2 linked regions of the Neodiprion lecontei genome follow. The main gene of each other region encodes a partner of the protein of the gene in region 2 in a complex. Links are inferred from orthologs where the notes say so. Each region holds a gene or a part of one and is shown on either strand. Other genes may lie near its edges. The genes, in order: Fanconi anemia group J protein and DNA topoisomerase 2-binding protein 1-B.

Region 1 (5,302 bases), on a different chromosome or scaffold from region 2:
TCACTGTCTTCATCATTCGTTATATTTAAGGCATCCTGCGCGATGCGTGGATTGAATTTTCCAGCCATCCTGAAACCGATTTCTTATCAATTACCGAATCGTTGAATACGACTCTTCGTTTTTAATCAAATCATTCAACAACCAACCAATTGATAAAGAAAAACTCTGTACCGAAGGTAGCGGAATCGAAACAAACAAGAATATGTAAAAGGGTTTCGCGAGGGAGTAGAAACTTCTGGAGTTCTGGAAACTTTGGAAGAAAGTCGAGTAACAGGTGCGCAAGTACAGAACTTAGACTCGACTCTAAAATTTTTAATGACGCAAGCTCCGCGTCAAGCACGCCGGCGGATTCATTGAGCATTTTCAAAGCTGTAAATTTTCTCCAAGAACAAAACTCCGCAGTATCTTCATAAATAAAATTCTAGGTTATTTCTTTCCCACCTTCAACTTGGATTCAAATCTTCATTCATAGGTACAGTAAAAAGAGTGCACAATATATAAGATGTCTCGTGTGGTGTCGCAATAAAAGTCCTGCACCTGAAAACGAGCGATGCTTTATAATAACAGCGGAAAGCCTTTTCTACATGAATTAGGGTAAGTACTTGACAAATGCCGCGTACGTACACGGGAAGCGGAGGTAAGGAAAATGAAAAAAATTAGGAAGATGTACAAGAAGACACTCTAAGACGACGATAATCGAGACGAACGTTTCGGCGTTTCGCGCTGCACATGGCATTTCTCGACACGCTACATCCTCTGCCAGCTGTGTCGCGGGCTCATTTTTCTTTACAACGTCGTTGAATGGACTGCACCGCGTGTCGTATATTTCACTGTGCACTCGCAAGACGACAAGTTCCGATGGAATATAGGTGCATAAAGTGATCGTTATATTTCTACACCGCAATTCCATCGCATGCAGTTGTCCCTTTCACACATGCTCGATACTGCTGAATTCGAGTTGTAGGATACATTTGACACCGGAGTAGCTTGCCATATGTCGATCTGAGGCAATACGGAGTGAAAAAAGGGTTGACAAGGAAAAACTGGGGCTTTAACCTGTCAGAAGTTGGTTCAATTTCATTTCGGAATTCCCCAAGCAATGGAAGTTCGTTTCGTTGTTCTTCTTACGCGACTAATTGCGGCAACTAATTTCGTTCCAGTAGTCACGAAGTGATAATGGAATCGCGTATTATTCCTCACTTGTTTTCCACATTTTTCTAACATTTATAAATAAATTTATTCGTTTTTCAACTACGAATTCTTTACAAAGTCTGTATTTTTCACCCAAAAACGCTCTTTCGCTGCGTGAAAAAAATTTACTGAGAAACCGGATTCATCTCAAATTACTGACCGCTGAAATTTTTTCAAACAATATTGTTCCTCTCAATTAATGTGTTTAAATATCCAAATATTACGGCATCTTGATCCAGAAACGCATTTGAATTTATCTCAATAAAATGAGTTAAAAAGTAGGGGTGGTCAGAGATATTAAATCAAAATTACAGTCTTTTTGGATCAAAAATATTTTTGAAGGTGTTTCATGATTTGAAAATAATTCTCATAAGTCAGTCTAATTCGTAATTCCTTTTTTTGACGCCATTGAAGTTCGTAACGTTGATGGCACAATTTATTTTTAGGAAAAATTGTCATTCCATCAGAAAAGTATCAGCTGACTACAAAAACCGTAATAAAAGATTGCATAATTCTATTTTGAAAACACATCTCCTGAATTAATTACTCTAAAATAGCGAAATATTAAATAAATATTACAATTTGAATATATTCTTTCAAGTGAACCTTACTGACTCCAACCTTATTTTTTTTTCCTTTCTTTTTTTCTTTGAATGATTGAATTACGCGTTAACGACTTTTTTAATTTTTCAAATCATTCTATTTTGGTTTCTCCTCAATAACTGTGTGTAATTTCACGGTGAATGAATACAGGAAAAATATTGTCAACAATTCTAACGATGCGTTGGACTGGAAATCGACCATAACATAACATTTAATTACTCATAATTGGTAAATTGAAGCGTAAAATGCTTCTAAAAATGTCGTTTAAACGGACAAATAGATATGTTTACTTCAATTCTAGCTTAAAATGAAATTTGTAAAATAGGTATGCGAAATGAATTATCAAATGTCGAATGGTATTGTATACTGTAAATATTATTATCAGGGTTTTTCTACTACTAACCAACCAGGACTCTGCGGCTTTCAAATTATTCATATTTAATTCAGCGCTTAACAAATACTGTCGGTGGTATGTGCATGAAATTTCTTACGCTACGCTCCAGATAGGATACAAGCAAACATTACATTACAGTTTCAGAGCTCGTTACATTAAACGAAGATTTTGCAATTCCAACATAATTTAGTCGAATCAGAGGGAATCGTTCTTTTTCGAAAATTTTTATAAAATTGTACGATCTATTTGAACAGAGATATTCGACACGTGACCGACGCTGAATGCAGTACCTAAATCTTACACAATATCGAATAAAAAAAAATTGAAAATGCACGTACAAATCTGATCTAAATGGCGAATGCAAAACAGCAAATACACAATGAATTTTAATTAACGATTTCAAGCGTTACTCCGCCCTCGTTCAAAAATGTTCCACGAATGCGCGGTTAAACGTAAGCACCAATAGGTGGACGTTGCCATGACACACGCCACGACCTCGTGTACAGGAGAAATCCGTGGCGTACACATATGAAGCAAAATAAAGCTACGCATGCGTCTCTCTGACTCCGCGCGACCACGCGACTCGATGTGTCGTTGACTGATGCACGCGGATAAGGCCAAACGAGAGGAACGGAGTGACACGGGCTGATAATGCGAGCAGCAAGCTCGCCGTAAGGCCACGAGTGGCGACGATGACGATGAGAGATGGAGCGATAATATACACAGATAAGATAGGGGGGAGCGATACGGGGTGCGAATCTAACCTCAAACGTCAAGATTTTAGCGAATACTCACGGTGACGGAGGATCGAGGCGCCGTCTTACGAAGGCGAGGGATCCTGAGTAGACACAGACGATGATGAATATCGCTGCCAGAACGATGATCATCGCCCGGTGATGACCTATCTGCTGGTTTGTCGGCGAACGCCGAAGGTAAACATTGAGGTTAGAGGACACAAATAGCCGGAGCTTAGCGGGGCCGACTTTCGCTCGGCACTCGACGCTTCGACGTTCGACCGTCGTTCGGGAGAATCGATTCCTCGACACTCGGCGCGGGACACACGACAAGTTTCGAATTTCGAACGCCACGCAACGGAAAGAGAGTAGCACAGGCACGCGAATAACGCGACTTGTTCGGCGGACTAGACGATCGTACTTGTGTAAACATGAGGAATACGAATCTGGGGTCAGAATTGTTCCGTTACACACAGATTTTGAGTCGTGTATGGGGTATTCCACTATAATTTGAACACCGAAGTATTTGGGGTGACGGAGCGATTCTGACTACGGATTCGGGTTCAGTATTTGCAACGATATATCGAGATGTGATCTAATCCACCGGACAAGTGTTTTTCGTGATTTCTTTTTTGTGTTATTACCCGCATATATAACTCAAAATTTAGGGGCGATAGGACGATTCAATTGAACCTATTTTTAACCTATGAATTAATCGCAAGACATGCCTTGATGGATTACGAATCTAATAGCATTCGTCGTTAAGTTGAAACTTGGAATTTTTGTTTAAAAATAATAAAGGAATTTATTACATCATTCATGTGTTTATATATTTTATGAACTGAGAAACAATTCTCGAAAATAATAGGTATCACTGGATTCTAATATTTCATCGAATGAAGCTACCGCGGTGGTACGACATTTTTTCGAGGATTAACATGATCTGAGTATAATCTAATACGGATTTAAAAGAAAAAATCAAAATATCGAATTCTCGTGCCAGAAAATATGTTTCACGATTACGTTAATAGATCCATTCTAGGCTTCAATCGTATACTCAAGTTTAAATTGAAAATAGATTTTTTCATTCAAGATTCCCAAGCTAATATTACGTTTAATAGAATTATTAAATGCGAGTCATCTCACAACATTGTTCGCTTTTTTTACTTTAATACGTGTGAGATCAACTATATAATATTTATTATATGTATAATAGCTCTGCAAAAAGAGACAATTTAATTTCAAATTATAGTTGTAAAATTTAATACTTGCAATATTGCAACGTCAACATCATTTTTGTGCACAAAAATGTTTTAGAATCGGCTAAAAATAAATATGTACAGGTATTATACAGATGGTTTTGAACCTCCCTTAAAAGCAAAATAAGATCGTGTAGAAGCGATAGTTGTTTATAAGAATTGACACACCTTTCGTTCATTTCAGATACAGATATATGATTCTAAAATTCTGTTAATAACAAAATCTGACTTTTAAATAAAAATACATTAACTATTTCAAAATTGAAGTTTTTTCCAGACATTAGAAAGATTTATATTTTTCTTGTATTACGTCTAAATTCGAAAGAGCAGAATTTCAAAACCTGAAATATCCTAAATTCGGGGATGTAAAAATCTGTAGTATGACATCAGCAAGAAGAAAAACCATTCGGACGACAAGAAATTGTGTTTCCAAAGGGTTGTGGCAATAATTGTTGAAATTCTCCGTATTACGTCTTTACTGGAATATTACCGAAGCACAAACGTAATATTCATACGTAATATGAATATCATAATATATGTATATATGCCTGTTGTATAACGCAGTGTAATTCGAAGTTTCTCCACGAAGTGCTCGATGTTTTCGATACTGTACAATGACACTTTGTATTCAAGGGGCAAAACAATCTTTAAATTTAGGTAACGGGGCGTAAGTTATGTATATCCTTCTATAGATATACGCCTATGTACATCTATCGCCATGGATTACAAGTACGAACTATAGACTGCGGGCCGGGCGTTCTATCCCATAAAATGTATCCAGTCTACGATTGTGTTTAGGGTATAATAGGGGGTTCGGTTTCATTATTGTGAAATGCGTCAAATTGCTCGTGTTACACCCTCCTGGAAGAAAGTGCTCGATTATAAATCACATGCACCGAGTTTATGGTCCACATGATTCAGTTTGTCAAATTATTCTCTTCTTCTTTTCAACGGCGAACCATCCGGCCACCCAATTCTCACTTCATTCCTCCCTACCCAATCATCGTCCAAATATAATACCAACGATTTCGGTACGCGATTTGTTAATCGACTGTCAACACTTTTAAAGAATGGAAAATACTAGCTTTCAATCTATGGAAATATTGGGACACAATCGGGCA
Region 2 (4,900 bases):
GTTGAACATTTTTTTGTAGTTTTTACTAAGTAGTCTGAGAACGGCAGGGCATAACCGTGCTTCACACTGTGATGAACCCATTGGGGTGTAACGCAGGCAATGTTATTTTGCAATGCATACTTAAGCTTTTCACTGAGCACTGAATCTTCTGGGGCTACAACGATCTTTACTTTGGCACCATCTAAAGCTCCCATAAATATCTGAAAATTAACATGATACTCAGTTATGATTAAATTTAATTTACAGGCAATAAAAGACTTCCAGTGTCAATGTTACAGAGAAAAAGCAAAGTAATAGAAAGCAGTTAGTAAACGTAAGCAGTAATTCATGCCAATAGTACATCTCTAGACTACAAATCATACACACTAAATTAATAAACGCAGTTGAAAACTGTTTTAAATTATTTATGTAAAATATTAGCTTTTTGTCTCATTGAAAAAATGGACAGAATTAAAATGGGACTAAACATCAACATGCACATAAATATACTTTGTATTAAATGAACTATATATGTAATATTTGTCACAAGTCAAACTTCTGTTTATAACCAAATTCAACTTACAGCAAAATTGCATACTGGGTACAGTTTCCCTAGTTTCCTTGCGTTTCCATTATCTAACCGAAAACTAAGGATATGTACACTCTGTATGTAATTTTTGAATAAGTCTGATTCACCATTGGTTAGCGCATTCAAAATTAAGATTCCATTACTTATTTCAATAACGGGATCCAAAAAAGTTAATAAAGTAAACTTTTCGAGAAGATAGTAGAAAATAGTCAATGATGAGGAAAAAAAAAAATAATAGTTGAAAAAGTAGATCGCTCAAAGCTCTGGGCAATGAGAAACATCACACATTGGATGTTAATACTTACCCCACCATTATCAGTGATCAATTGTTTAATCTCTTTTTTTCGCTTAGATAAATTGGTTGAGGTAACAACTAGATTCATGAAGACAGGGCACTTGTATTCGTCAAATCTACTGCTCGTAGCCCGTATATTTTCCACAAGACTTGCTTCCCATACTGCTGTTACCCAATTCTCAGTCATGACTGGTATTTTTTGTTCAACAGCTTTCTAGAAAAGTATAAATGATATCGAAAATTGCTACAATTCGTGTTTGTAAGAGTCGTTGTTAATGTTTTTAGCCATATATAAATATACAGACCTCGTACTTCTCAGACATCACAAAATTTGCAATCAAATGTGTGACACTGTTTCGCAATTGTCGCGAATAAACACCCCCCATGTATTCTACCTTCCTTCCTATATTTTCCTGAAAACAAAAAAATCAGACTCAGAATAATCGATGATTGAATTACCTTTTGTCAACTGTGAGTATATATATGTTTAAATGTCTTTGTTTGCTTAGGAGCACACAGAAGACAATATTTACGCAAAAAATTATCTGTTTTTCTATAAAACACAAAACGATCAATAAAACTTGAACAATAATTTTCACTGAAGGCAATACAATAAAGAACCCTTGTAATTTTTAAATGATCGCAATATAACAATTGCTATTTCATCGGAACAGGATAGTATCATACAAGCATCACAGTTGTTTGCATACCAACTTGCAATTGCCTCTATAATTTGAAAATAATTCGTAGATAATATGTACTTTTGCCTCTGAAGTGAGACCAGACACACTGACAACCAGGCCTCTCATTGCAGTTGTGAATACTGGGCTGGTTCCTTCGGGAATTGGTTCCCCGGTCATGAAACAGCTCAGTAAACATCGCGGTCCAACTATTCTGCTAAAACATAATGAACCATCAGTTGTTACTAGCAGCTTACGTAATTTTTCAACCGAGTTTTCATCGAGCTTTGATATTTATGTGCTGATTTATTATGATAAGTGAAATGAGTTTGTTTGAAGGAAATATTGTATAATGTAAGAAATTCATGACATGCAGATTCAATTTTCTGATTAGAAATGTAAATGGTATGAATACTGTAAATGTTGCTACAATCAACAGCTGTATTAAATTCTTACGAGCATTTAAATTTTTTCAAATGTGCGAACGTTGACCCCTCAAATTCTTCCAATACAAACACGTCCTTCTTTCCTGGTGCTAAGTTGTCGCATAAATTCTCTTTAATCCATTTTGGCGATAATTCGTGTTCGTCGCAGCTCTATAAAATAAAAGTGTGATCAGAAAAAACTTGGAGCATAAAATTTTACCGTGCATATGATTATACTTTGTAGTTTATCCTGTGAAATCAATTATTTGCACTATTTGCAGAAAATTAAATCTTCAGAATCACAAATTGCATTGAACTGCAGTAGGTGATTTATGGTTGAATGTCAGCAAATACCCATGAAATTTTTAGTATGGTTAAACAGATATACTTACATTAAATGCATGCCACATGTCGCTTGAGCAATCGTTCTCATCTTTCTGATCTCTCGTTATGACAAAATATATGTTCAAATCGGAGTCCACCTGACTTCCTTCGCTGGTCATTCTGTATTTCATAAATCCAAATCAACTGTAATGTAATGAGAATTTGATCTAAATTGAATTTCTGCTCTAAATTGGCATATAGTTAAATCTACCATTGACAATAATTACTTTGTACTGAACATGGGTTGACCATAAAATACAGAGTGTCATGCCTTATTACTGAAAGTGGAATTGAAGGTAAGAAATGTGTTACAAAAGATTTGAAAAACAAAGAGTTCTTACCTTTAAAATTTTAGATCCGAGTACTTGTAAGTCATAAATTATTATTGACAAGTTACTGGAAACTTATACTTGTGTCTTTGATGTATTGAAAAAATTACCCAAGTTCCAGTTCTCGTGTATTAAACTTATGATAACTCGAATTGAAAATGGTCCGGCGTTTGTAATTTTGAACGTAGAAAAGGCTGCAGAATAGGTTATATTCCTAAAACTACAACGATTCTCAAACTCCAGATAAAAATATGATAAATAACAATTATTGTGATGTAGAGCGATGGCTAAATCATAATAGACAAACATCTATATTCTTGATCTGCCGTCAAGTCAAGTCATTTCATAATGACAATCTCTGTGCCAACCCGGTGAATAATTAAAAAACCAGGATAAACTAACTGCCAATTGGTATAACTAGTATACGGCATTTCCCGCGTCCCGGTCGCTGCTTTACGATATTTTACGATGTTTCACGACGGTTGTGTCAGGAGAGTATTTTCATTCGTGAAATGGATAATGTAAAATGGAGTCGCAATACGCATGCGCGTGACTAATGTTTTTTGATTTTGTAATAATTTTTGGTCGTGGTCACTGATCTCTATATAACACAGATCAGTGCCTGAACTCGACAGCACAAATGAGATAAAAGATTGTTGACAGCACTGGGAGCTAATTTCGGAACGCACCCATGGAAAATGGGAAAAGTGTCCTAGGAAAACCATACTTCCAGAACGCTCTCGGTATTAGATTTCAGAACGGAATCGGAACAATTTTCTAAGTCTCATAGGAAGCGTTGGCTAAAAAATTAAAAGACGCTTACCCCTTTCATACTTAGTCTAGAAACGTTTACAATCGTTTCTAAAAGGATTGTTAGCAAATTTCTGTGAGCAGTACTCGGCGGGTAAGTGTGCCTGGGGCCATAAGGAGCCATATTAGCGATCAGGTCGATTTTTTACCGCTGAAAGTTAACACGCAATTCGCAAGCACTCAAAATCCTTTTAACGTAACTGCTTTAACAGCTTTACTCAACGCATAAAGCAATGAATTAGTCGAATTTAACTAATGATATCGCTTTGTGTTAAGGCGTGACTGAAAATCTTGATAAGTCTATGGGGAATACACAACTTCTCGCGCCGTGGAAAAAACCGGGGGAATCCCATCAGTCTTACGACACTTGATCACATCATTGCAGAGTGGCGGTATAGGAGGGAAACGAGAAGCCTGGCCAATTGTGAGCCCGCGTCTTTGCTCATTCCACGCTTAGTTCTTATCGTAGTACTCGTAAACGATATTTTCTGTCCTACAAGAAGGTGGTAGAATAGCGAAATAACTATTTAAAAGTAGTGATTGTTCTTTTAATATTGTGACATTGTTTATTTCAATTAGAAAAAAATCAGTGAAAGTACTAGAAACAGCACCAGCATTGAAGAAATAGCCACAAAGTCACTGACGAAGACAAAGGAACATGGCATCTGCGGACGATCAATTGGAAGATCCTCTCGATTTTGAGACTCCGGAGATTGAGATCAAGTTAACGGAAATGAAGACAGCACGATATTTTACGATAACAACCGACAGCTACATATCGTTGTGCTCTCGCGTTTACGCTGCACTGTGCGCTGAAAACCCAGAATTTTCTGCCAATTTCTCAGAATCAGTTTTTCAATATTATGCTGTCATTCATTTGTGGATGCGGTTTGCAGCGGTTCTTCCTAATTCGATGCAGAGGACATCACATCAGTTTCTGGCTGAAATGTACAAGCTAAACAACGAATCATGGCACGTACCCAAGCCATTGCTAACATATTTGAAGGGAATTGGAAATTTTCGTGATGTTGACAATTGCGAGAGACAGTTTCAGTTGCCAGTATTACCAACCCATGAATCCATCGGTGGAGTCAAATACACATTTGGAAAAATAAACGCCAATACACATCACTCTTATGAAGCTTTTCCAGCCCCTGGAATTGCGGCTCTGCGCATACAGGCTGATATTAAGTACACAGAAAATGTTTGTAATGAAAATTTATTTTGGGATTTACCTGATGATCTTCGTCCGGATGTAATAGATTCTCGTGTAAAATCTTGTAATCCAACTAAAAACCTTTTGGGTTGGGCTCCTGCACAAGAACTGACCTCTAAACAATTGGACCTATGTCAGGGGCTGGATATGAATGAATTTCTAAGCAACAAGGTTTCAACTTTAAGCTCGCATA

The links.
Region 1: the proteins of DNA topoisomerase 2-binding protein 1-B (region 2) and Fanconi anemia group J protein are in contact, whole or in part, in a crystal structure (PDB 3AL3), measured with the Homo sapiens proteins. The link is inferred for Neodiprion lecontei from reciprocal best matches to the Homo sapiens genes TOPBP1 and BRIP1. Residues at the interface, in NP_008958.2 of Homo sapiens: Leu1272, Ser1273, Ser1274, Leu1275, Asn1276, Pro1277, Arg1280, Gln1298, His1311, Leu1313, Arg1314, Asn1315, Glu1316, Lys1317, Leu1319, Gln1366, Arg1407, Gly1410, Phe1411, Leu1414, Thr1466, Glu1467, Ile1469, Ala1470; in NP_114432.2 of Homo sapiens: Ser1129, Tyr1131, Phe1132, Thr1133, Pro1134, Glu1135, Leu1136, Tyr1137, Asp1138.

What each region holds. Positions count from the first base shown.
Region 1 is NC_060262.1:26,772,628-26,777,929, forward strand, and holds the start of Fanconi anemia group J protein, read right to left. Parts: upstream 3,199-5,302; 5' UTR 3,076-3,198; coding exon 2,984-3,075; intron 70-2,983; coding exon 1-69. UniProt on the Homo sapiens protein: DNA-dependent ATPase and 5'-3' DNA helicase required for the maintenance of chromosomal stability. Acts late in the Fanconi anemia pathway, after FANCD2 ubiquitination.
Region 2 is NC_060264.1:28,710,404-28,715,303, forward strand, and holds the start of DNA topoisomerase 2-binding protein 1-B, read right to left. Parts: upstream 3,173-4,900; 5' UTR 2,694-3,172; intron 2,497-2,693; 5' UTR 2,484-2,496; coding exon 2,361-2,483; intron 2,140-2,360; coding exon 2,000-2,139; intron 1,761-1,999; coding exon 1,625-1,760; intron 1,277-1,624; coding exon 1,169-1,276; intron 1,078-1,168; coding exon 874-1,077; intron 201-873; coding exon 1-200. Other genes in the region: uncharacterized protein LOC124294485, read left to right, coding at 4,150-4,900. UniProt on the Homo sapiens protein: Scaffold protein that acts as a key protein-protein adapter in DNA replication and DNA repair. Composed of multiple BRCT domains, which specifically recognize and bind phosphorylated proteins, bringing proteins together into functional combinations.